Oryzias latipes: one gene and its partners. The protein of the gene in region 3 purifies or fractionates together with the protein of the main gene of each other region. This does not show direct contact. Links are inferred from orthologs where the notes say so. Each region holds a gene or a part of one and is shown on either strand. Other genes may lie near its edges.

Region 1 (5,158 bases), on a different chromosome or scaffold from region 3:
CACAGGTACAAAGAAGGCATGAGTTAAGAAAGCGATGTTGGTCTAATTTATTTATGTAAGGAAGCTGGTTTCAGTGGGATCAAGTGATGTTTATGTCAAGATGTAAAAGTGAATGTTTAAAGTTTTCCAAAAATGAGGGATTTTAAATAGCCAACTTTTGTCCCCTGGCAATTGGAGAGACAAATTAATGAATGAGAATTTTTTCTTATCTAAAAACTGTAATGTTTCTTCAAATGAAAAGAAATAATTGGCCTTTTTTTTTTTTACACCTTTTTAATAAAAATATACAATCCATACTTGATTGAGGCACTGACAGTAGCAACTTAAAATGTCTTTCATTAGAACTTTTTAAATGTGTTTCTGAGTGTTTCAATTTTACATTTTTTTCTGGATTGTGTTTTGATTTACTAATGGTCCAGCTCTATTTGAACTGTGAAGTCAGACAAACATAGAAGAATTTTTATTTCTCAGTCTTGTAAAGTGAGAAAATTTTTAACCTGCTCTTTGTTGTATAGAACCTTTTTTTTTTAAATTCATTTCCTTTAACTCACAGTCAGGAAATTCTGAATGTTTATTATCTTGATGCCATTTTTGCTAAAATGTTGGTGTACAGATTGCTGGATAATGTGGACGATGTGTGTAAGAAATAGCAATACTGCAACGTTTCACTTCTTTTATTTAAAAAAAAACGTATAAAGTTGTCATTGAAATAAATGTTTCATTCCGAAAATTAAAATTGTTTGAAATTTTTTATGTATTTCTGTAAATGCTCCTGTTGGTTTTCAACAAGGTGCAGTTTAGAAATAAAAAAATTAAATTGATTTGATTTGTTTATTTAACGCATTAATTGTAGACAATATAACAAAAAATCACACACGTTTGTCAGTCCCATTTCAGAAATAAAGAAATTCATTGATTAAAAAACAGAATAATCATCAAAAATGTAGGAAGACAATAACAGTGTAATTACTCGTAATCTTAAAAAGGAATCTTTGCTGTAATGCATACAATAATATAAGATCACATTAGATTAATTAAATATAAAGATCTGCCAAAAACAAGTACAGTATGAACAATCTCAAATTTAGTATTCAATTTCAATATTCTATTTTTTTTTTTTTTTTTGCAAGACTAGTAAATGCTTAAATGAATTTAGAAAAAAATCAAACATGTTAACAATTGAATTCAGTTTTTAAGAGGGCAGGAAGGAAATTTATTTTGTTGACTTCTTAGTTTTATGAAGTCCCGCTTGTGCAAGTCTAAAGTCATACGTGACAAATCCAAATCAAGTCTTAAAACTTGTAGTTAAATAAACATTTTATTGTTCACAAGTACTCAATAAATTACTTTTAACAATTTGTAGGGATACATTAACAGGCAGCTGGTGTTTCTCCGCTCCCATTGCAAAGACATTGCATGAGGACATAAACAAATGAACATTCATATGTCCCAAATCTCATGTCTCCACTCATTTTATGGGAATAAAAATGTTAAGATTTGTTAAAAACTGGTAGAACCAGATGTTAATGAAAATTTCACATTTTCCCCCTATCACTTGAATGCACGTGAATGAAACTAAGCTGACGTGACTTGTCACACTGGGTGGAAATACGGAAGTTAAACAAGTGGGAGGGACGAAGACCAACACTGCTCGTACTACGCCTTCAACGGTAAGATGTTTGAGGAGATTTCCCCTATTAATTCTTTTTGTGGTGAGCTTCATTATAGCTCCAGAAGGTACGCTAATTCCTTGGGCAAGGGCTGAATTAGGCCGACAGATTAAGAGCTTAACTATTCCGGCAAAGACTTCCTTAACCCTTACTTAGAAGGTCAGTTTTCAGCTTTGCTAGCTGCAGATGAAGTAGCCTCGCGCTAGCCGACACCGACATACCTTTAGCCTTTTCTACCAGCCTCATTCATCTTACGCATTTTCTGTAAAAATGCAAGAATGGGCCAATCAGTTATGCGTGAGTATTGTACTTAACTGCGGTTTATTAGCGGTTGTTGCGTCAACTTTTACGCTGTCGATAGCTAGAAATGTAGTTTGCTTTCCTCGTCACATTAGCCTACTAAGCTAACGTTATAGCCCGATGCTACTTAAGCAGCAAACTTTGTATATTTGTGACTCAATAAACAGATTCTAACAAAGGCATCTGCTGAAACATGTTACATTTTTGTTAGCAAAGACAACCCACTAACTATTTGAATGGGTTAGTGTTGATTTAATACGGACGAAGTCGTATTAATCGAATTACAATTAGCTACTAGAGTTGGACCGTCGCTCCGATGTATTTGCCATACGGCAACCTGTAGGCTGTTATCCAACTGAAATAATTGGGTTTAAACGTCAAATATTGTACCTAAATGTCACCACAAAACAATTAAAATAATGGTTATTAAATAACGTCAGCCCTAAATCGGTTCATTCATATGAAGATGGCCACTACTTGTAGGAAGTCTTTACTTCAATACAAACTGTCACGATTTTACCAAATATCTGAAGTTAACATTTGAAATTGTTGAGAGTAAAAATATCAAACAATATTAAAAATAGATTTTAAAATCCTAATGTGTACAAAGCGTAACTCATGTTGTTTTATCCACTAGAAGGTTTATAAACTTAAACTTGCAGAAGACACAAGAAAAGGCTAAAAAAAACAAATAAACAAAACAGGAAGATATTACTTTGAAACATTCCAGATGGAGATTTTATTACAAAAGTGTTTTTTTATGTACACATAAAATGCCACATGGGTTTAAGTGACTCTTGAAAGGGTGCATCAGTGTGTACAATAAACCCAATCTGTTTGTGAGCTTTACCATTTTGGGAAATTGCTTAATCTTTAATGCTGCCTGACTTTTATTACAGTTTTTAAAAAAAAAACTTTTAATATTCATTTTACTTTGGTAGCAGCGTCCTAATTTACTGCAACCAAATTTGTCTTTCAACAGAGGTTTGGTGACTTTGTGCTCATCTGCTTCCTCTTAATTGCTGTAATGACTAATTTGCATTATTTTGCTCTATAACAGATTGGATTTTGTGTTCATCTGTTTCCCTCTTTACTTATTGCAGCAGTTACAAATCTGCCTGTTTGTCTTACAACAGAATTTCCTTCAGTTTTTGTCTGTCTTTATCTGTTCCCTCAAATCCTAACTGTTCATGGCAGATAGAGAGCCTTCATGATGGTGGGTTTTTCCTAATCTTCTATTTAGAGAGAGGTTTATTTTCTTTTCCACTGTTAGCTTTTGCTTGCTCTGTATTAAGATTACACTGAAAACCCTGCAATGTAATCTACTGGTCACTTATATAACATAGGGATATTAATATGATATGAGATATTGTGGCCCTATTGGAATTATCTTGACTAAATTGTATTATAATAATCATTATTAATAAACTGTCCGTTTTTTGCTTTTCGTGGAGCACTTTGAGACCTCATTGGTTGTGAATTGAAATGACAAACTTGAAGAAATTCGTCTTATTAAACAAACTCTCAAACATCTATCTCCCTGAGAAAGTTGCTCTGTCTGCTGGAAGTTAGGAAACCTGACCAGGAAATACTGGGGCCAAAACGCTTTCCCCTTTTAATCATGATTGGGAGATTCTTTTTTTTAAAGGAGACATTTCATTCTGGTTTTTCAGCAAACTCCATTGATTCTTTTCCTCTCAGGTCTGCAGTATTTGGACAGTAGAAGGCAGGAAATCCTTTTAATTTCATGTGCTTGCACTTCTAGGTTTTCCTGTTATTTTTGAGATGTGGCAAGTTTCCATTGAAACAAAAACATCATCATCATCTTTCTGTGTTTTGCAGGAGAACAGACAGTTTGGATCCAAGATGACAGACTCCAAGTACTTCACCACCACCAAAAAAGGTTTGCTATTTTTTATATCGAATACAACACATTTTTTTTTTAAATTGTAGTTTTTATTGTTGTTTTTTGTGGATTTTGTTACTGGCTCAGTTGTGGGATGCTAAATTGTTGAGAAAAAGCCATACAATTAAAAAGCCATATATACAAAGTAACATTAGTATGGAGCTAATGGACATTTACTACTTCCAGAATATAATGAAGACCTTTATCAATATTCACACACCTAAATTGCTATTTAACTTTAAATGCACTGATGTCACATTTGTGTTTGGCACAAACCATTTTGCTATGAAAATACCGATTGGGTATAGAGAGAGTCGGTTAGTTCTGAAAACCACCATTTCATCACATATGCTAGAAAGTCCAAAAGTCATTTAGGATCCCCGTGAAGCTCTGGGAAAAGGCAAGCTGATGATAATTAACAACAGTAACAGCTGTTTAGGGTTGCCAAGAGCATGTTTGCTTTTATTTTACTATGACTTGTTCAAACTTGAGCCTTAAATTAATGGTGAACAGAAAAGAATCTTTTAAGAAAGATTCCCACAATGAGATGGAACCTTACTCAGAAGCAGCTTTTATCCCTGGAACCGCCATCTATTTAGTTGTATGAGTAGGAAAACACTAATCTGTAGTTTCAAAATAAAAAACACGATTAATTCATTTAGCAAACAAGAAAAAGCCGCTGCCATGCAGAGAACATAGTCAGCTACCATAACCAGAGGTTGAAGATCTGATTTTAAACATCAATGGGGCGGGTTTAAAAAAAAGTATTTTATTCAAGGCAATTTCATCAGTACTGCAAACATTTTATATCAATTGCTTTCTTTTAACTTTTCGTTGTGAAACTTTTTAACCAATTTTTTGACATTTCCATCCTTTGTCCAGTTTAATTGGTAAAATGGTTTATCTTGATGAAAAAAATAGTACTTGGATGGATTAAAAAGATAGTTATTCAAAAGAAGTATGAACTTGAGAATCAAAATTAACTAGTTTTATCATTTTGGCAGCAAAACTCAGCCACACATTAGTGTGTGAATGTGTTTTTGTGTGTGGGTAAATGAGACGGTGACTGTAAAGCGCTGTGGGCCTTCTAAGAACGTAGAAAAGCGCTTCTTAAGTATGCGCCACTTATCGTTGTACCATTTCTGTTACACATTATTTTACTGAAAATATTACATTTGGCTTTTGAAGCAAATGTTATAAGCTGAAAAGTTTTTTCATTTACTAAGGAACCACTAGCATTTCAGTGTTGTGCGTGTCCCATTTTCTTTTCATCTTGCAGCAA
Region 2 (5,137 bases), on a different chromosome or scaffold from region 3:
AAAGTTACAGTACAGACAAAATAGTTGCGAGTTGTACCTTTTGAAAGTGTTACACTGAAGCTTTAATGTCTCTGACTGACACACAGTCTCTATCGTGAGGACAGTGATTGAGGTTAGTCCCACCTTCTTCATGACCCTTTCTGATCAAGTGTTGCCTGATTGTCCGCCTGCAGCCTCACATCCTGTCGGCCAGGCAGAACGGTAAGGTCGCCAGGGCCCGTTAGACATCCAGGTCATCGGGTCGGGCTCTGCTGCTCATCCTGCTGCTAGCCCGGCTGCACGGCCTGGGGTCCATCAGCGCCAGGGGCTGCAGTTCGTGTCCCGCTGATGATGTGAGTTTCTTGTGCTCATGGGTGTCATCAGGAAAGTCAAAGGCTTGTGCGTGGGAGTTTGAAATGGTACTTCCCGCACCAGTTTGACCCAGCCGGTTCTGCTCCGTAGAGTAGTTGGCCCAGTTCTGCTCATTGGCTTGCTTATTGTAATTCCGGCAGGAGCCGGTTCCACGCTCCCCTGTGGCGAGCTTGTAGCCTGGAGGGGACATGGGTGAGATGGGGGCGGTTGGGGATGAACAGCCGTTGTAGTAAGCGTACTTTGTGGTGGACAGCTCTTTGGGGGTGGGGCTCAAAGTTCCTCCTCCCCCGGGGAAAAGCCCGGCCTGCTGCTGCTGCTGCTTTCCCTTTACGCGGTCTTTGATCCTCTTGAATAAGACGTAGAAAAGCTCGATGACGTTGAGCATCAGAGAGACCAGAGAGACCACCAGCATGAAGATGATGAAGACGGTCTTCTCTGTGGGCCGCGACAGGAAACAGTCCACCCTGTGAGGACACGGGTCCCTCTCGCAAGTGTAGACGGCGTTCAGACTGAAGCCGTAGATGTACCACTGGATCAACAGGAAGCCCACCTCAAACAGAGACTTGAAGAAGATGCTCACAATGTAAGTTCTGAGGAGGCCTCCCTTCATCTTCACTTTTCCGTGCTCCTCAATGCCGTACTTCATTTTTTTTAACTCAATTTGCCTAAGCGGGATGTCAACATCACCCCCATCATTCTGAACGGCTTTAAGCTCCTCCTCCTTTCTGTTGAGTTTCTGTTCCTTCCTGTGCAGATAGAAAACGTGAGCCAGGTAGAGCAGCGTGGGCGTTGATACAAAGATGATCTGCAGCACCCAGAAGCGAACATGGGAGATGGGGAACGATTTGTCGTAGCAGACGTTTTCACAACCAGGCTGCTGGGTGTTACACTTAAAAGCCGACTGCTCGTCACCCCAGGCCGACTCCACTGCGGTACCCAGAACCAGGATCCTAAAGATGAAGAGCACGGACAGCCAGACCTTCCCACCCGCAGTAGAATAGGCCTGGACTTTGTCCAGCAGACGACCCAGAGCACTCCAATCACCCATCGTTGGGGAGTGTTAGCTGGTGGAAGAAGAAAAGAGAGAAGTTGAACTGACAATGTCGTGAAGTCAAACAAACTTTCAGTGTTGGCTGAGTTGCAGCCAGACGTTGGATAAAAGCAAAGGAGAGTGATAAGATCTTACAGGAAACATAACTGAGAGTTATTACTTTGGACGGAAAATTTGTGGCTTCAATTCACTTTTCCACTCACTGTTCTCTCAGTTTGTTCCAACTTCTAGTTTTTGCATAAAATAGTGTTGCATTATAATCCGTTTTCTTAATTTTAGTTGGGTTTTGCTAATTTACAATCATAAATCGGATGTGGAGATCCTCTAAAATTAGGTTTTCTTTTTTGAGAAACATTAATATGTTTGATGGAAACAATTAATTCAATTGAAAGAACTTTAGTTTTTTGTTTGTTTTTTTGAAGGATTATGTAATTAAGGAGAACTTAAGGGGACCAAACGAAATGCTTAATGACGCAACAAGCTAATCCAATTAGTGGAGCAGGGGACAAAGAGCACGTTTTTGTTCTTTTCCTTAAGAGCTTCACTTTAAATCCAGACTGGCTTGGAAAAAAGGAATTAAAATGGAAAACACATTCAGATTCTGCTGAATCAAAGCGCTGTGGAACTACTCTCATCATCTTGTTTTCTATTAGACACTTTTAGCAGAAATGAAGGCGACAAAACTTATAAATTCAGACAGTTGGGTTTTAAAACTGATCAGAACTTTCAATGGTGGAGCCACAAATCAAAAAATAACTCTAACACTGAAGGTTCTGGTTGGTTCCAGCTGACTGGGTCCCTAAAGGTCTTCAGGTCTTCATCCTGTAAAAGTTTTGGCGCTTAATGTGCATTAATCCCTTTGCGCATTTGGGTGCAAATATGCATCAAACCACTTCTGTTACAAAATTACCTTAATAAAAAAAAAACTGGAAAAGAATGTAAGCGTCAAGAGCCAGAATGTGGCCCCAGAGGAAAGACAGAAAGACCAAAAAAGATGCCGACAGCTAACACAAGGAGGCTTGGTTGAGCGCCGCCCGAGCCTCTGTGCTGTGACGGGGTTCAGTCGGGGCATCAAGAGCCCAGGAGAAATCCTGCTGCAATACAGATGCAGAAACAGGAGGCAGAATGTTGTTTTTTCATGTGACTGATACAACAACAGGTCCTTGAAAGGCTTTCAGATACTCTGACTGTCAGACAGAAGCACTGGAGGTGCATCATGTAAAACCCCAGCTGTAAATCATGAAAAAAGAGGATCTGCAGACTTTACTGACCTCATGGAAACATCAGGTCAAAAAAAACAACCCAACAGGACATTAAATGCTGGTGCATGTGACACATAAAAAGATTCTCAGAGTGGGCCTCACAAGAAAGACCTTTGTGGATGAGCAGGAAGCTGCAGGCTGGTTCAATTCTCTGCATGTGCTCTCACTTATCTGGAAGCTCTGCAGGGTCCAACTCCTGAGGAGTCCGGGAGGAGAAGAACAGTTGCTGACTGTTAGGAGACACAATGTCCCGCCACTTTCTGCATGAATGAGTTCAGAGAAAGCAGCACAAAGCGCTACAGAGCTTTGACAAGGTCCTCTGGAGGAGCCCAAGGCTCCTCTCCACCACACAACCCACATCCACTTCAGAGGGAACCACGGAGAAACCCGTCCAGAACCGCTCACCTGAGCGCACACTGAGAGGAGAAAGTGTCCTCCATCTATCTGGTCCTCAACAAGAAGACTGGTGAAGATGTTGCATTAAGAAAGAAAGAAGAGTTGCCTGGTTCTGGTCAGGACTGTAGTAGAACTCACCTGGACGTTCGGAGAGACCGTGTCCGCCGTGTCTCAGTCCTGTGGGGAGGGGTTGGACTCGCGCACCGGCCCCGCAGCCGAACTGAACCAAACTGTCAAAGTTACTCTATAAGAGGAGGTCCAGTCACGTGACCACATCCACGTCAAGAGCCTGTGGGGGGAGGCGCGAGAGTGCGCGCGCGCGCGCGGGGTTGTACGCGCAGCCGCTCACCTAGAAGGTTGGAAGGGCCAGGGCCGGAGTTAGTCTTTTCAGGGACCAAATCAAAACACAGTTACGTTTTTTTTATTTTTCTCTTTTTTCCAGTATTATTTAAACATTAATATAATTTCTGCAGTGATCGAACGTATAAACTTTAGATTTAAACTATTTGTAAGAAGAAAAAAATGCAGGAAGACAAAGCTGACAGGTCCAAAACCACACTGATCCTGTTATTTTTAACATTTAAAAACTTAGGCCAACATAACTGGAGTTGTGATATACTGTAGCAAATATGTGGGTAAAAAAATGTTGTGCCATCCATTATAAAGAATAACTAATAATATAAACTATTAAACTGTGGGCTATAATCATCTCAGTTTCCTCATTGTTTAACAGAAAGTCACTATTGCAGAAGTTGATAGAAAGAAATAATTCCTACATTTGGGCTCATTGACTAGATCTAAACCAAAAGAAAGCATTATTTATTTAACTCTTTTTGAGAATGAATCAAATCAGGAGATTTATGAAGATATTTAAAATAAATATAACTTTTTCCCATTAATTTAAAAAGGGAGGTTGCTAACAAATTGCTAACAATTAAAGAACTTGAAAAATATGTAATCTCTCTCTCCCTCTATCTATCTATCTATCTATCTATCTATCTATCTATCTATCTATCTATCTATCTATCTATCTATCTATCTATCTATCTATCTATCTATCTATCTATCTATCTATCTATCTATCTATCTATCTATCTATCTATCTATCTATCTATCTATCTATCTATCTATCTACCTAATCTTGAACTATTGGAACTGATTTTAATTTCCTTAATCATGATCTATTTCATTTTTATATGGTTTCATTGTTTTTCTTTAAAAAAAAAAAAACTAAAGAAACTACTAAAATGAGCAGCAAAAGGTCTTCCAGATAAACCTTGCAGGTCCTGGAGAACAGAACTGTCTGATAAAAGGTTCCTGATCATGTGATCGGTGTGGTGACATTTACCAACACTGAATGGTCCCTCTGAGAAATCACAGTTAACTGAGTAGCAGTCAATAGCGCCACCTAGTGGTGGAAGTGATTAAAAACAATCAATTGTTAAAGTTTATCCACCAATAGAATAGAATAGAAAGCTTTTCTTGTCACTGTCCACCTGGACAATGAAACTGGAGTAGTCTCCATTTTAGTGCAAAAGCAAATCTAACAAAGTATAATATAAAACATGTCAGTATAAACAATGTAATATAACTATATGTATATTTATATATTTAATATAATTACATTGTAATTTAATTATTATTTTCTTTATAATAATGTGCAGAGTGATATGTACAGATATAAACATGTCAGATGTGCTAAAACAGCATGGAGGGGGGGGAAGTGTTGACCAGTTCACCTAAATAAGCACATGTACATATACACATACATAGACATATACACTGGCAAGTGCTGTGGCAAATTTTATCTGGGTGTTTTGGATTTGAGTATGGTTTTTGCCTTGGGAAAGAAGCTATTTTTGAGTCTGTTTATTTTAAATTGGATGCCTCTGTAGCGCCTCCCAGAGGGCAACAGGTTGAACAAGTCTGAGCCAGGGTGTTTCCTTGATGATGTTTTGAGCCCTGCTGAGGCAGCGTGTGGAGTAGATGTCAGTCAGGGAGAAGGTGTCCCATTTGTCTTCTGAGCTGTCTCTACGACTCTCTGCAGCCTCTCCTTGTCTGCAATGGCAGCTGCCGT
Region 3 (4,883 bases):
CTGTTTGTTTAACGAACCCTTCCTTTCAGAGTCTGATAGATCCCAGATCTATGGAGAGAGTAAGTAGAAATATTAACAGGTTTCAATCTGTAAATCAGAATCTAACCTGGATAAGTCAAAACTACCTGGCCCAGGACGAGGTCAGCCAGCCCCGACCTCTTCAGGAACAGGGCGGCGTCGGCTGCTGCGACACGCCCGCTGCCAGAAGGATCCACCTGCTCGTGCAAAGAAGAGCCCACGCCAGAGCCGCGAGCGTCAGTCGTGTTCTGCACGTCGTGTTTCTCAAAACTGGGTTTTATTGCAGCGGCTGTGATGTCAAACAACATGCGGTTTGTTTCATCTCCGTTTAGCCTTGCTCTCCTGCCCGCCCCGTGACATACAGCAGCTCAACGCCATGAATCCATACGCCCTACAACTGAACCTCATCGTGGGTTAAAGGGAAACCATCGTCTTCCCTGAAGCTCATCCCTGGGAGCTCTGGCTTGAGGGAAATCATCATTAATTCATGTCCTTTATTGACTGCAGAGGCATGAAAGAGATCAGAGCTCACTGCAACACCAAAGCTCTGTCCTTATGAAGAGACAAACACTAAGGAATATCTCAGGTGAGTCACATGTAACCCTGAACTTTCAAAGTAAGAGCTACAAAGAAAAGGTCTCAACTTTTTGACTTTCAAAATAAGACGTTTTACAAAACCACATAGAATGTGTAGATTGATATGTCCACTGTGAGATACAGTACATGTTCATACCTGTCGATAGTATTTGTCATAGATGGGATTTCCACTGGAGAGCTGTTCAAGAAAATTACACAATGTTAGAAAATGTTCTTATAGCCTTAAAGCAGATTTTCATAAACATGACAAACACAGACACTTAAATTCCCAATAGAGCAAATGTTCATTGATCCACTCCCATCACCCTTTGATCTGTTTTCACGATGTTTAATTACGATTACGTCGCTTTTAGCCTAAATTTGAAAAAGGACGGAAGTTTATTAGAAATTTGCCTCAGAGTTGTAAACGGGACCATTCCAGCGACACCTCCCCATTACTGAGAGCTCTCTGTTTACACTCTCTCCCGCTATCACAGCCCCCCCATACCCCAACCTGACATTACCGGTGCAACAAAAATGGCGGGAAATATTTGAGCTACCCGGCTACCGTTTCAAGCCAGATTTTGGTTATCCTTATAATTAAGGAAAAAGTAAAGCATTTTAAATTTTCACTATGCAGTCTAAACCCTGAAGGTGGGGTTGCAACAAAGTACAACGCCTGATGCTTGATATTTATAAAAAACATTAAAGGTTCTTCAGAGGATGGCGGTGAGAGCCGACTGCAGGACACATTTCCTCCACCAAAGCTCATAATCGACGTGGAAAACAGAAATACACAACAAGCTGTCACGGCGTAGACAAAACTAGATTTATCTTTCCTCTAGAACTTCCTAAAAAAGAAAAAAAAAAAAAACTTCTTTCCTCTGTGTGCTGCTGGCCCTGAAGAGGAAACGAATCAGCATTTCCTTTTTCGTGAGGCCGAAACAGACGCAGAGGCTTTCAGTTCACAGGTGAACTGAAGGAGGAGAGCGGAGAGCGGTCGGCGTCTCATGGGTGAACTCAACAGGACACTCAAAGCTGCAGAGACCCAGACCCAAAAAGCGCCTCCAGACCCCAACGCTCTGTGGCAAAGGGGAAGTGGAAGAGGCCGGCCGTCAGCGGTTATCGCTTAGCCTTCTTTAACGGATGATTTACTGCCAGATAGCAGGCAACACAAGCCTCTGCCTCCACAATGGAGGCGCTGGGACAGTTGCAGGCTGTAACACTGTGGTCATTGTACTGAAGACCTCCAACAAGCACTGAGGGGAGAAAAGGCTGCATCATCCTGTCACTCAGAATAAAAAAGAAACAGCAAAGAGCAACACACTCAGGGCCAAAGGCACACATGGGGCCACGTTTGGGGACTCAAAGCTACATCCATGTGATGAACTCCTCTGTGGAGGGATGGCTGCAGCCGGCAGACACCTCCTCGGTTGCCACAGGCAACAGCTCCTCAGGTAACTAGAGGAACCTCCTCACCTGACTTCTGCATGCTAAATAACTTGCTTACAGTTACACACAGGCAGGACCCGCCCACGGTGACAGCTGCGTTCTTCATCACAGAAGCAACAGGCTGTGTGTGTGTGTGTGTGTGTGTGTGTGTGTGTGTGTGTGTGTGTGTGTGTGTGTGTGTGTGTGTGTGTGTGTGTGTGTGTGTGACAGCACACACATGGATTGTGTTCGGGCTCACTTCCTCTTTCCCCCCCCCAGCTCAACCAGATCGGAGTTTGTCCGCTCGTGAGTTAACGGCGGCTAGCAAGCTAACAGTTAACGCCGTCCACTTCCGAAAGGTCAGAGGGGGTCTAATCAGTCCCACTTTACTGCTAAAAACAGCCCAAATCAGGTTAAATACCCAGTCTAACTATACAAAACAAGCACATCCACGGAAAATCGGCATTCAACTAACTCTGGGCGGCAAACTTAGTGACTTAAACTTGGTGTTTTTAGCAGAACTAAAGGAGGCGTCAGTGACCCAGAGCCGCTCCACCAGACCAGGCGTCCCGTATTCCCAACTCTGTCGGGACCGACCACCCCAAGCAAAGGCCGGGGCCAAACCCCTCCGGGCTCCGTCAGCCTCGCGTCGTTGATGAAGTTTAATGAGGCAGCCCGACACTCACTGGCGAGCTGTTAGCCGACATGCTAGCTAGCTAGCTACGCCCTTACGCCGTCCCCAAAGAGAATCCAGAAACTTTTCAGAGTCACAGCACGACTAAACTTCCAAAAAGAGACGCCGCGGGGAAACAAACTCCCCGTTTCCATGAGGTCACTTGAACCAACACCGCTACAGTTTCGGAACTCACAACAGTCAGAAGCCAAAGAGCTCCGGCGCCGTTACATTTGAGTTGTAGGAGTGTTACCTGAGTGAGAGACAGACTGGCAGCCATAGTGTTTCTGCTTCCCACTGCCTTCATTCTGCTGTGCTGCAGGGCGCAGACGGGGCTCGCTGGAAAACCCGGAGCTGGACCTCCGCGCAGGAACGGGCGCGAGGCGGGCAGCTTTCAGGGAAATGTGACGTCAATTCACGTCGAACATGTCAAAATAAAACACCCTAATTATGAATAAAATAAAACTGAATTGAACATAACATAATATTAATGTTTACTGTATGTATCCGTGCAAATATATTTATTATTAGGGGTAATCATGTCACAAATTTAACATCTTTTATTTTCTTTATTTTTCAATTTATTAATATCTTCATTAAATTGATATCAAAATTAATGTATTTTTCTTTTTATTGCTTGAAATAAACATTCATCTACATTATATTGAGTTGTTAGAAAAATTTGGCATTTCCAATATGAACGTACATTTTTTCAGAGTAAAAGAACAAATGTAAACATTTAGTGATCCCTCACATTTGCCAAGAAAGAATAGATTTTTGCCTCATCTTCAATCATTTTTCAAGTTTTGAATTTCAGCAGTTGGATTCAACATTTTGTTAGCATGTATCATGTCAAATTAAATAAAAAACGAGTGAAATTTAATTATAAAACAGTTTAAGCTGACAATACTCAAGTCAACTTCCTGTATTGACAACAAGAGTATTTAAATTCACACACAGGGAAAAAAGGGTTTAATTCTTCGGTGGCTTTTATTGGACAAAGCACCTTTCTACTGCAACAGTTGAGAAATGTCTTTTCCTTCCATTAGTACAAAACGAGTCTTACAAAAAGGAGCATCTTTGAGAGTGTTTGGGGTACAGCAGTGCAGAAAAGTTGAAATTATGAATGAATTGCAGTTCACATGAAGAAAAAACAACCTGATAAGATCTACTGCTCCTGGGCTGTTCTTAATGAAAACCACATCTGAGAGTTCAGTTCATGCGCAGCGACAGAAACGGTGTCAAACAGAAACTGATGGAAGCGACTGCATCTGTTTCCACTCCAGATTACCCCCCCAACAGCAGTAGATCCTCTCCACTCTGTTTAAATAGGATCCCCCATTTTTGGACAAAAAACAGACAAAACAAAAGACAAACAAAACAGATGAGGTAAACAAACATTTCTACGGCACGGTCCATCTTTTGTTTCTGTCACAACTTCCTAAAAATCCAGGTTCCTTTTAAAATAAATCCCATTTTTCCTGTTCTGCTGACATTTCTGATCCTGACATTCAATAATAGATTGTGTTTTTCCAATTTTCCTAGTACAGATAGTAGTGATGGCTCAGGAAAACAACAGAAATGCCCCTTTTGACCCCTCCCCCCCTTTTGTAAACAAATGAAAAGTCTGTCCCTCCCATGGGGAGTCAGACGCCGGGGTCTGCCTTTTCCGTCTCCAGCGGCCCACTGATGCACAGTCTGAGCAGTTTCTGAGCTTACAGCTCATCCTTCACCGCGTCCGGGCTTTCGTCCTCCTCTTCCTCCAGTTCAGGCTCCTCTCCGTCTTCTTCCTCTTCGTCTTCCTCCTCCTCCTCCTCCTCCTCCTTGTCCTCTTCTTCATCCTCATCTTTCCTCTTCTTATCCTCCTCCTCGCGCTTCTTCCTCTCCTCTTCGTCTTGGCTTTCCTTCATCTTCCTCTCTGCATCCTGAAGGGAAAAAAAAAAAACATGTTAAAAACAAAAAAAAAACCTGAAAAAACAAAAGAGGGAATTTTCGGAACGTTGGAGCTCCGATTATGGGATTGGTACTAAGGAGCAGGCAGATCACCGTTATGTTTAGTCAAGTCTCAGAAGGAGTCGTGTCAAAACAAGGTTAACCGGAGATTCCACTCATCTTAGATGTCATCTTCAGCATATTAAATGAGACGGGTTAATGTGATGTCATCCCAGCAGCAGGCAGTGACCCT
Region 4 (4,991 bases), on a different chromosome or scaffold from region 3:
GCATTTCCCTCTGGGCGGAGGCCCCAGGGAAGACCCTGGACACGCTGGAGAGACTATGTCTTTCAGCTGGCCTGGAAACGTCTCAGGGTCCCCCCTGAGGAGATGGAGGAAGTGGCCGGGGTGAGGGAAGTCTGGGCATCTTTGGTTAGACTGCTGCCCCTGCGACCCGGATGAGCGGAAAAGGATGGATGGAAAATTTTATTTAAAAAAAAGGCATCCTGATAAATAAAAAATAAAATGTTGCACCTTTTATTTATACAGCGGAATAAATAACAGGAATAAATAACCTAACCTTTGGAGCCAATATGCTTCTATGATTATAGCGAAAACAAAAAAAAATGTTGTTGTTTTTTACTTTTTCAGACAGTTGTCCCAAATTTTTTTTTGGTAATTTAAAAGAAAAATTAGTGAAACTGAACATTTTATACAGGCCTACAGGGGAAATTGTACTGTTGCACACCAGGGGGGTGGAAGAGTATGAATGCCCTTATGTAGATGAAATAAACAAAATCTTAATATATATACCCTTAAAAATAAAAATAATCTATATACATGTGTCTCTGGAATAGAATACAATTTCACTAGTTGAACATTTTATAGTGGGAACATTTCTTGGTAAAAACTGACTTTGAACAGAATCATTCATTTCTCAGAATTACTGAAAAAGAACCAGAGGGATAAATAAAATTACGTATTTACTTAATATTTGTTTATTTTTAAACAGTGTTATTGCTGAGGCAAACAGATTTGCAAAGTTTCCTGGAATGAAAAAATGATTAAATATAACTAAAAATTGTTTATGACAGAAATGTTGTCTGATCATCAAAGAATTGGTCAAATATGTCATTACTTTTCTAAATCATTTTAAATATTAGATAGATAGATAGATAGATAGATAGATAGATAGATAGATAGATAGATAGATAGATAGATAGATAGATAGATAGATAGATAGATAGATAGATAGATAGATAGATAGATAGATAGATAGATAGATAGATAGATAGATAGATCGATCGATCGATCGATCGATCGATCGATCGATCGATCGATCGATCCACTTCTTTTTTGCTGTTTCCCACAAACAGCAAAAAAGAAGTGGCATTTACAGAGGATGAAGTGAAAAGGTTAATTTAATAAAAAAATAAAAAACAACAAATAAATAAGTAAAAATACACAGCAAAAGCAACCTTTAAAGAACAAAAAACAACTGAGAAACAACAACAGCTACAACAGTTTGTAAATAAATAAGTAAATAATATTAATATGACATGGTGGTTTACGTTGATTCCTCATTTTACATTTTAGAGAATGAAAGTTTTTATTAAGATTTACCTTGCATGCTTCGCCATGAACTCCCAACCAACGAAAATCCATATGTCCTACGTAGTCATAGCAACGGTGACTGGTCAACCTTTTTGATTGTCTGTGAGATTTAAAAGACGGCTGGCGTTCTACCGTTAACTTTAAACCACCGTTCGAGAGTTTATTTATATGTCAAATTAATGTAAACATTCTTTTTATAATCTTTGTATCGAAAAAAAGAAAAATATGATCAAGGAGGTTATTTATTTGATGTCCAACGTGATCTCGGGTCGCTGGTTTGAGCTCGACTCGGCCGTAGGTTGCGCTGTTTTGTTCGAAGTCTCTGTCGCGCTGGAAGGAACCAAAGGAGAAGAGAGCCGAGGGGAGGTGGAGTCTGGAAAGGGAGAAGAAAGGGGAGAGGAGGAAAACGGGGAAAGGCAGACACAACACAAACGGGCCAGGACGGCGGATGATTTTCGCTCTTAGAACCTCCAATACAGCTAACTCAAGAGCGGCGGCACGGGAGATAAGAGCAAGATGATAACGCCCTACTTCCTAGAGAATTTCTGGGTAGGTCCTACTTTTAATTTTTGATGTTCACGGTGTTTACACCGGCGCTGATCTTCACACTTCCCTTTCTGTCACGTCCGTCACGTCGTGTTCACGTTGCGGGGACAGCCGGACACTTGCCCCGGCGGGCAAGACGCTCCCTTCAGGGGCCGACAGACTAACCGGTCAGCCCCGCGGCTATCGCTAGTTTTCTTCGGCTGTTACCTTCGTTTGGGCCTCAATGAGCCAATCTAACTTTAGAGCTCCAACGGCCCACCCCCCTTTTCCATTAATTGGTTGCGTCTGGATCTCTTGGAATGTTTACGGTCAATTCCAAGAATGCGATTGGACACCTAATCTGCCAGTCACAGCCTTCCCTTTGACGCGTCATTTTCTAAGCTTTGGGGAGAGACCAGATGTTTAGTTTAAAGCTACCTAAAAAGACACAAAGTTAACTGTAGTGCGCGTTACTTTTACTCAGAAAATGGGTCTGTCTATTTGCTGCTAATGGTCATCTATAAACATGTATTACTTTTGGACGTGGCCCTCCTAAAGCAGGTTTAAAGGTTACACTTGTTGTTTTCAGTGCTTCCTAGGGACTCATTAAATTCATTTAGCTAATCTTACATTGCTAACTTGGCATTTATACAACTTGTATGTGTTGTTAATGCTGAATATTTGCCATTTGGTAAAAAAAAACAATTATAGGTAACATTAGGGAAGGTTTTATGACTGTGTTATTACATTCCTACCATGACAGACAGATATATTTTTTGTATATTTAATTGTTGCCAAACCTGCTCTTTTACACAGATCAGTTGAAGATAAGCTGATCTGAATCTGGACTAATGTTGTTTTCTTTTCTGTGTTTAAAGTTCAACTCTGATTATCTTTTTTAAAATCTTTTATTAAAGAGTTCCCAGGGATCTTTTAATTAGGATTAAGCGGTTTTTAGCCCAAAACAAAAACTGTGTCTTTTTCTAGGATATTGTTTCTGCAGAGCGGCAGGAGTTCATCGGAAATTATTTGGACTGTTGGTCTGAAGTACGCCTGCCCTCGTTTCCCATCATCCCTCTGTTTAAACTCTCTCCCGCTAGCTTACAGCCCCTGACACACCCAAGCTGACAACATTAGCTGCTTTTCAAACAGCATTTTTTTGTCAGCTCCTGATTCACAACGATTTGAGTAAAGAAATACTCCGAAATGTAATTTAAGCTTAATTTCCTTTATATATGTCCTCCATCATCAGAAAAATGCCACAGGAACATGCTAAAAACACCAAAAACATGATTTTTTATGGGAGTGGGTCTTAAAGTCAGCAAACCAGTAACCTCAGGCCTCAGATACCGGCATTCAAGGATAAAAAAAACTCAATGGAAGCTGAAATAACAAAGCAGCTCTAGAACTGAACTTAAGCCAGACGTCTCTATGTAATTAGACGATACAGTGATGTTATCCAGTGTTTTTCTCTAAATGAGACTGCATCATTAACCGAATGGAAACCTTCGGAGCCCTCACCCCTGATGCTTCAATCTACTCTTTGTGCTCCGCAGCAAGCCACAAGAGAATCCAGTGATGGCAGCAATCAGCTGTGCGTTTAGCATGCAGGGCACACAAATGCACATACTTGGCATTAGGAGACACATCCATCTCCAGTTTGACTCGCCTGCAAATCTTTACTGCTAGAGCGCACACATTTATCTGGCTGACTTAGACATTTTTGCTGCAGATTTATTTCTTGCAAAAGGAGTAGGAAGTTGCACAGATTATTTCCACACTTTGTGGTCTGTTCATACATCTTTTCCTTCTATGAAATCTTTAATCTGCAATGTTAAATATTCCTAACCAGCTGAGAAAACAAATGATCCGATTCAGGAGCCAGGTTTGCTCCAGCTATGTTGTTTTTCCCCTCAAAAGTTGCAGCACTTGACTGGTCAGCAGCTGCGACGTTTCCGCCCTCCGGATTGATTTCCAGACAGTTTCATTTCCTTTTTTGTGTCTCCCTGTCCATTCACTTTGAGTGTGGCATGTGCGGAGGGGCTTGGACGTCCCAGTGCATGGAGGGCTTTAGCTGCAGGCAGTCCCTGCGAGTTCATGTTTAATCTGTCGTCACTCAGCCTGCAGAGTGTCATGGGAAAATAAGATGGCAGTTTGATAAGCAAACAGTGTTGATACAGCCAACAGGATGGCTCCCCCCCCCCCCCTCTCCCTTGTAGTCTTTATGTTGTGTGTGGTCTAATAGGCTGTCACTCATCGTCTGTACGGAAGTTATGAAACAGCCTGTGAAGACTCAAGCATGAAACGTGTTTGAAAGTGATGATGCGATTCATATTTCTTTCCATTTTTGGCTTTAGCAGAAGATCTGTTAAAAAGTTGTGTTTATTTGTGGAGAACTGTGAGATCCGTCAGAAAATAGTCAAGATCCTATTGTTGTGCTTGAAACTGATATGGTTTCTTGCGTCTATTTACCCTCACTGCTTGTGTTTCCCCTTAAACAAGGAGGGTTACAAGCTGATCAGCCCTTCTGTGATCTTTCCAACACCCCCATCGCTTGTATATCTGTTACAGCCTGTGTGTCTTGGGGTTATGAGTTTAGATATCAGATTTATAACACTGGGAAATGGGGCCCTCCAACAGGTGATTTTTAATGTTCTCGAATCACCTGCTGCAGGTCAAAGTCATTTTTCAGGTGTTGTATAGACCAGTTCACAGATCTGACTGCCAAAGGCAAACACGGCAATTGCAAAACCAAGACTTAGCCACATTCAAAGTCAGAATCACACCTGTAGTAACGCCGTTTGTGGGTCTGCTAACGAGTTAAGGCCACACTGCTGTATCTGTGAACTAGTCTATTAAATGGCTCTGTGGTAAAAGCTACTTAGAAATAATTGTGTTTGCTGCCTCAAATGTAGCTCAACAAAAGAAAATAGTAAACAAACTTTGTTAGACCTGGGAGAGTTGTGTCCATATCCACTTTGCAGCAGCATTTTCTGCTTACTTCTGCCCTGCTTGCTGCTAATTACCCTGGGTGAGGGGTATCCCATCCATGTAGAGATGCAATTGTGGGGGGTGTTTGGAAGGCAAAAGGGCTGCCTGGACCCCCCAGTTCTGGACCTCAAAAAGAAGAGACATAAATA
Region 5 (5,184 bases), on a different chromosome or scaffold from region 3:
GGAAAAAGATGCAGGAGGCCAGAGAAAGTTTTCCGAGAGGCGTAATAAACACTGGTTCCCAACTCCAACAGGAATCCTCAGCATGAGACTGAAAACCAAACTTTCAGTGGGACTGAGTGGAAGAAGATCCTGGCACAGACTCAGAATTTTGCAAAGATGACTCTCTAGTGACCGGTCCAGTGAGCATCTGTGGAACATTTCATGTTTTAAGGATTAATAAGTCACTTTGTCAGGTTGTAATGATGCAAAACATACATCAATCCACCAAAATGTGGAAAAAGTGACCACACCTGCCTTAGAAACTACAGGCAAATTTCACAGCAGTTTTTAATGGCTAAGGAACTTGTTGAAAATCCACTCGGGAGTTTTTTTTTGTTGCAATTAACTCTTTTACAAGTTCTAAGCTGCTTTTCACCTCCTGCCCTCTACAGAAGCTGCTGCGCTCATGTTCTGCCAGTACCTACTGATGTACGCAGATACGAGAAATGTTCTGGTGCTGTTTAAATCTACTAAAGCTTACTTTTTACTGTCAGAAATAGCCTAGTGATTAACAGAATGAAGCTGAATTAGCCACTAACCAGGAAAGCCTTTGTGTCGTTTCCCTACATCAACGGGTCTATTTGGGGCAAAACAGAGACTCTTGCTTCATGTCCCTCAAAAGGATCTTCTCAGAGCTAATCTCAATTTACCTGACCCTCTGCTGCTTTACTTTAACCTGGTTCCATGAAGCACCATACCAACTTTCAGTTAAAGACATTTAGCTTTTTTCTCATTTAAACTCAGTTAAATTATTATTGATCTGCCCCTTAACAGTACAAAACTATTGTTACAGTCTACTGTAAAAATAGAAATTGAAATCCTCCTGAAACATCTTTTTCACAAATCAAGCAATCTCTATAGTCTTCTCCTTCTTTTTAGAGCCGGTCTTAAGGATCTCGTCATTCTCATTTGATCAGCCTATGCACAATTTATGCATCTGTTCTTTTGCTATACTTGATACAGGGATGAATGGTGCTTGGTTCAGAATAGGATTTTAAAAACGATGCCAGTTTGGCTAAAAGAGATCATGTTCTCAGGATTACTGTCAGGAAAAAAAAATCAGCTGATTTTAATTTGTTGGGGTAGTTTTTGCATTTTATTGCATATAATTCTACAAATAAATGTTTTTGCTACAAAATATTTGAAGTTTCATTGTTGTTATACATTTGTTATTTTAATTAAAGCAACATCCTTTTTTTTTTTAAAACAAACCCAACTTTTTATGTCATTTTTATAATTTTGAAGCCACACTGTATATAAGTTACAGGTGAAAAATAAAGTATTGGTTTCATGGATTGTGGTAGTTGACCCTAATGGGCTTTTGATAAAGCTTAATTGATTTCTTTGCTGTTTGTATGCTGTTTCTCAGTGAATATCAAATGAAAAAAAAATAGATTTTTATCTTTTGTGAAGCGTCATTTAGTTAAGAAACTAATGCATTTTATTTTTAGAGAACGTGTTCTTTGATTTTATGAGGATTTACAACACTGACCTAGGTTAGAAAGGCTTTTATGTGCTTGCAATTTAATCTTTAACTATGTAAAAAAGATTGTAATTTGCATTTTTTTCTTTTAAACTATCAATAATATAAACACCTGCAGTCTTGCACGTTTACTTGTTAAAAGTAAGATGCTCTGATAGTTTAAAACAACAAAACAACTAGCAAATAAAAACACCAACATGAACATGGCTTAAAAAATTGTCATTAATTAAGCTTCATTTTTGTTTTAAAATAAACGGTTGGGTCAGAGTTTGTGCTCCAAATCATGAAAAAAAAATTGATTTCATGTTCACACGCCCACTTTTCTGCACTCCAGTAGGAAGTTTTCCAGTTTCCTACGATCGTGAACTCACCATCTATATCCCGATTCTCCATCTTTTTCCCCACCAAGCACAGGACCAACCTACGTCTTCGACCTCTTGGACTATTTTCCGGCTCACGTAACCGCAGCCAGGTATTGAACATGAAACTGTTAAAAATGAAATACAAGTAGATATCTACACGTTTGTTTTGATTATACTTTTGAGGGAGGTGGCACAGTGACAGTCCAGCGGCAGAGTAGCTCCGTTCGTCGGTCGGTGATGTGATGAAACTGGGCCGCTTCTCGCTATTCATTTCAATGTGGAGGTTCGACTGAAAATAAACGCGTCACATACAGTTGCAAAGAAACTGTCGAAATAAGTACCCTGACATTTGTGTAAATTTGCATTTTGACACTTCGTCACTGAAGTGTAAAGGACGATGATGGTTAGCCTTTTTAGCTAATGCTAGCGAAGTGTAACGGCTGTGGCTCAACTCTAGCTAACGTTTTGTTTCGGAGAGGACAAACGGTGAAAAATGCCGATTTTGTTGTCGCAACTTGTAAAAGATTATTGGTTTAGCTTTCAAACCGGAGCGGCGAGTTGAAACCGGAAAACAAATTTGCTTAATGTGCAAAAATTAGCAGCATATCGCTCCGTTGTAGAAGAAGTTAGGGCGTGCAGCCACCATCATTCATTATTGGTAAACGTGTTACTTTTGTTTCTTTGTGGATTTATTGTAAAGACTCCGATATTTCCCGCTCAGCCGTAGATCACTAACTATCATATTTATTTATTATTGCAAAAGACAAACTGCCAATGTTGTATGAATGGTTCTTGCATGGGTGGCACTATTAAACACAAGTTCTCTCCTCATAACTTATTTATTTGGAACAACAAATATTAATATTATACAAGAAAAAATCTTTGTTTTTCCCCACATTGGTTTGAGAAAAGAATTCTACTGGTGGGCCAACTTTTTAACATGAACGGGCATTTATTAAGGTATACTGAATTCAACTCTAAATACAATCTGGTTGTGACTTCTAAAGAATATGCCATTGTGTTTGAAACCGTTTCCAAAGAAATATGCCAAATGTTTAAAACAACTGTTAGGAATGAAGAAATGCCCTCTATGGATGCAACTGACACCACCACAGGAAAAATCTGCTTTAATCCCTCACACTAGAACAAAAAACATAAAAGTACTTGTAATTTCTCTGGGACGTCATTTCTGTGCCATGTACTAAAACCTACTGGACATGTTTTGTTCCCGATGGTATTTGGAGGAAAGGTTGGAGTGTGACCCAAACATTTATGATAAATAATAAAATGAATGAAGTTTCTTTTAAAATAATTCACGAAATTTACCCCACCAATCAATTCATGCTAAGATGCATTAAATCAATTGTACCTTTTGCAAAACACAACCAGAAACAATTGGCCACCTTTTTTGGAATTGTACTGAAATTAGAATTTTTTTGGAAAAAGTGTTTACAATTGATCAGAAATCATATTCACCCCAACTTCACTCTGAAATTTGAATATATAATTTTTGGCTTTCATAATAAAAACTTGGACTCAAATAAAAAACTCATAAGTAATCTTATTATTACATTTGGCAGATTTTATATTCATAAACGCAAATTTTCTTCCTCTTCTATATTATCCCCTCTGTTAATCAAACAAATTGAAATGTATCTCAGTAACATCTCTAAAAGCCTTAATCAAAAAGCTGTATGTTTGTATGAAGGTTGTAGAAACCTGAATATTTTTATGTAAAATGCATGTAATATGTATGCTCCCCAGGCATATCTGAAGATTACTTTGCAAAATTGTGTTTTGGATTGTACTTACGTTTTGTACAATAAAGTTTTTTTTTTAAAGTAAAATAAAATGTTGTATGAATGGGGCTTTCTTCCAATCTTACTGATAAATCTATTGGTGATGCATTTTAGGACTTCTGTAAACAATCTAAAAACCAAACAATGGCTGTTTTATTGTGAAAAACTACACCCTGCTGGACTCTTTAGTCAATATGTTGGTGTGGAAAAGAGTTGTGCATTGGGAGATATTTTCTGGGATTCTGTCCTGGTGTATTTTTGTGACTCTTGTTTAGCATGTGTAAGGCAAGGATCATGCCATTGAATGAAAAGTTATTCAATATTGTTATGCTTTGCACGCCAAATACACATGAGAGTATAAAACTGTGTATATATTTTCTTAAACACTGTGTTATCATAATAAATTATTAAAATATTCTAAAAGTCGACTTTTAGAAAAAATCTGTCCAGACAGGTTTAACATAGTCTGTCCAATTTGACCATTTCTTATAAAACCTGTCTGAATTTGAATTAAGAATGAAAGCTTTTCCATAATGTCAATATTGTGAGTATAGTGACCCACTCCTCTGTTATTGGGGTTTGCTGTTTGTAGCATCTTTTTGTTTTGCAGCTTTTTGCACTTGCTGCCAGCAAGTTATGTTAAGTACAAGCATGTTAAGTACGTTTTTATCCAAAAAGTTAAATCCATCCCAAGTCCAGTTACAAAGATATGTAGTGTTTAATAAAACATATGCACATTTTTATACGGTACTCTCATGTGTATTTGGAGTGCAGAACATAACAATATTGAATACGTTTTCATTCATTCACATAATCATGTCTTGTTCATACTAAACAGCAGTCACAAATGTACACGTAAAAGCAATCTTAAACACTTTCTGCAAATGTGTGTGGGTTTCAACCCAGTATTTTTTGAACAGCTGAACAGTCCCAGAATATATGAAAGTGCTTCCACATCTCCAGCTTGCATCTCCACTGCTCTCATGCCACTTTTGAACTGGAGTGATTTAAAAAAGAAATCTTGTGACGTTTTCCCAGCAAAATTCCCACCAATAATTTGACCTGGTTTTGACCTATTTCACCTGACATGACCTTTTGCAATCTTCTTCTGAAACTGGCAGAGTCCCATCTTTTTCCCATTTTTTTCTCTACTTATTTCTTCTGTCTCTGCTCTTGTTTTTTTTTGATTATGTGCACTGTTTTCTTTTTCCTTTTTCACTGGGATTTTCCTGAGTTTAATCATTTTTCTCCCTGATATAGTTTTTGTATATAATATTTTCCTTCAATTAAGTTTATATTGAAGAAAAATGATTCATTTTATTCAAGTTACAATAAGGGATTTCAAAGATTTTTTTTAGATATTTGTTGTGCTGAAAGGCATTGACATTTAGTAGAACAATAATTGAAACAAGTTTGTAAAGAAAAGAAAAAAAAAGGAAAGATTGTGATAGGCTGCTGAGTAATTTTCTACATGTACAATCATTTACCTTTCTTTTTTTTT

The links. Proteins that work in one complex are often made in the same cells at the same time.
Region 1: the proteins of eps15 (region 3) and ap1b1 purify together in Homo sapiens (affinity purification with mass spectrometry; 3 studies listed by BioGRID and IntAct, with this or other methods). This does not show direct contact. The link is inferred for Oryzias latipes from reciprocal best matches to the Homo sapiens genes EPS15 and AP1B1.
Region 2: the proteins of eps15 (region 3) and gap junction alpha-1 protein purify together in Homo sapiens (affinity purification with western blotting; 3 studies listed by BioGRID). This does not show direct contact. The link is inferred for Oryzias latipes from reciprocal best matches to the Homo sapiens genes EPS15 and GJA1.
Region 4: the proteins of eps15 (region 3) and fcho2 purify together in Homo sapiens (affinity purification with mass spectrometry; 3 studies listed by BioGRID and IntAct, with this or other methods). This does not show direct contact. The link is inferred for Oryzias latipes from reciprocal best matches to the Homo sapiens genes EPS15 and FCHO2.
Region 5: the proteins of eps15 (region 3) and AP-1 complex subunit beta-1 purify together in Homo sapiens (affinity purification with mass spectrometry; 3 studies listed by BioGRID and IntAct, with this or other methods). This does not show direct contact. The link is inferred for Oryzias latipes from reciprocal best matches to the Homo sapiens genes EPS15 and AP2B1.

The regions. Positions count from the first base shown.
Region 1 is NC_019867.2:12,656,813-12,661,970, reverse strand, and holds the start of ap1b1 (AP-1 complex subunit beta-1), read left to right. Parts: upstream 1-1,837; 5' UTR 1,838-1,940; coding exon 1,941-1,967; intron 1,968-3,812; coding exon 3,813-3,873; intron 3,874-5,158. UniProt on the Homo sapiens protein: Subunit of clathrin-associated adaptor protein complex 1 that plays a role in protein sorting in the late-Golgi/trans-Golgi network (TGN) and/or endosomes.
Region 2 is NC_019882.2:10,600,892-10,606,028, reverse strand, and holds the start of gap junction alpha-1 protein, read right to left. Parts: upstream 3,322-5,137; 5' UTR 3,199-3,321; intron 1,416-3,198; 5' UTR 1,400-1,415; coding exon 221-1,399; 3' UTR 1-220. UniProt on the Homo sapiens protein: Gap junction protein that acts as a regulator of bladder capacity. A gap junction consists of a cluster of closely packed pairs of transmembrane channels, the connexons, through which materials of low MW diffuse from one cell to a neighboring cell.
Region 3 is NC_019862.2:31,374,453-31,379,335, forward strand, and holds the start of eps15 (epidermal growth factor receptor substrate 15), read right to left. Parts: upstream 3,072-4,883; 5' UTR 3,006-3,071; coding exon 2,895-3,005; intron 794-2,894; coding exon 752-793; intron 216-751; coding exon 126-215; intron 49-125; coding exon 1-48. Other genes in the region: calreticulin, read right to left, coding at 4,414-4,623. UniProt on the Homo sapiens protein: Involved in cell growth regulation. May be involved in the regulation of mitogenic signals and control of cell proliferation. Involved in the internalization of ligand-inducible receptors of the receptor tyrosine kinase (RTK) type, in particular EGFR.
Region 4 is NC_019870.2:5,316,950-5,321,940, forward strand, and holds the start of fcho2 (F-BAR domain only protein 2), read left to right. Parts: upstream 1-1,670; 5' UTR 1,671-1,842; coding exon 1,843-1,875; intron 1,876-4,991. UniProt on the Homo sapiens protein: Functions in an early step of clathrin-mediated endocytosis. Has both a membrane binding/bending activity and the ability to recruit proteins essential to the formation of functional clathrin-coated pits.
Region 5 is NC_019872.2:25,023,474-25,028,657, forward strand, and holds the start of AP-1 complex subunit beta-1, read left to right. Parts: upstream 1-1,863; 5' UTR 1,864-1,994; intron 1,995-5,184. Other genes in the region: mks1 (Meckel syndrome type 1 protein), read left to right, coding at 1-86. UniProt on the Homo sapiens protein: Component of the adaptor protein complex 2 (AP-2). Adaptor protein complexes function in protein transport via transport vesicles in different membrane traffic pathways.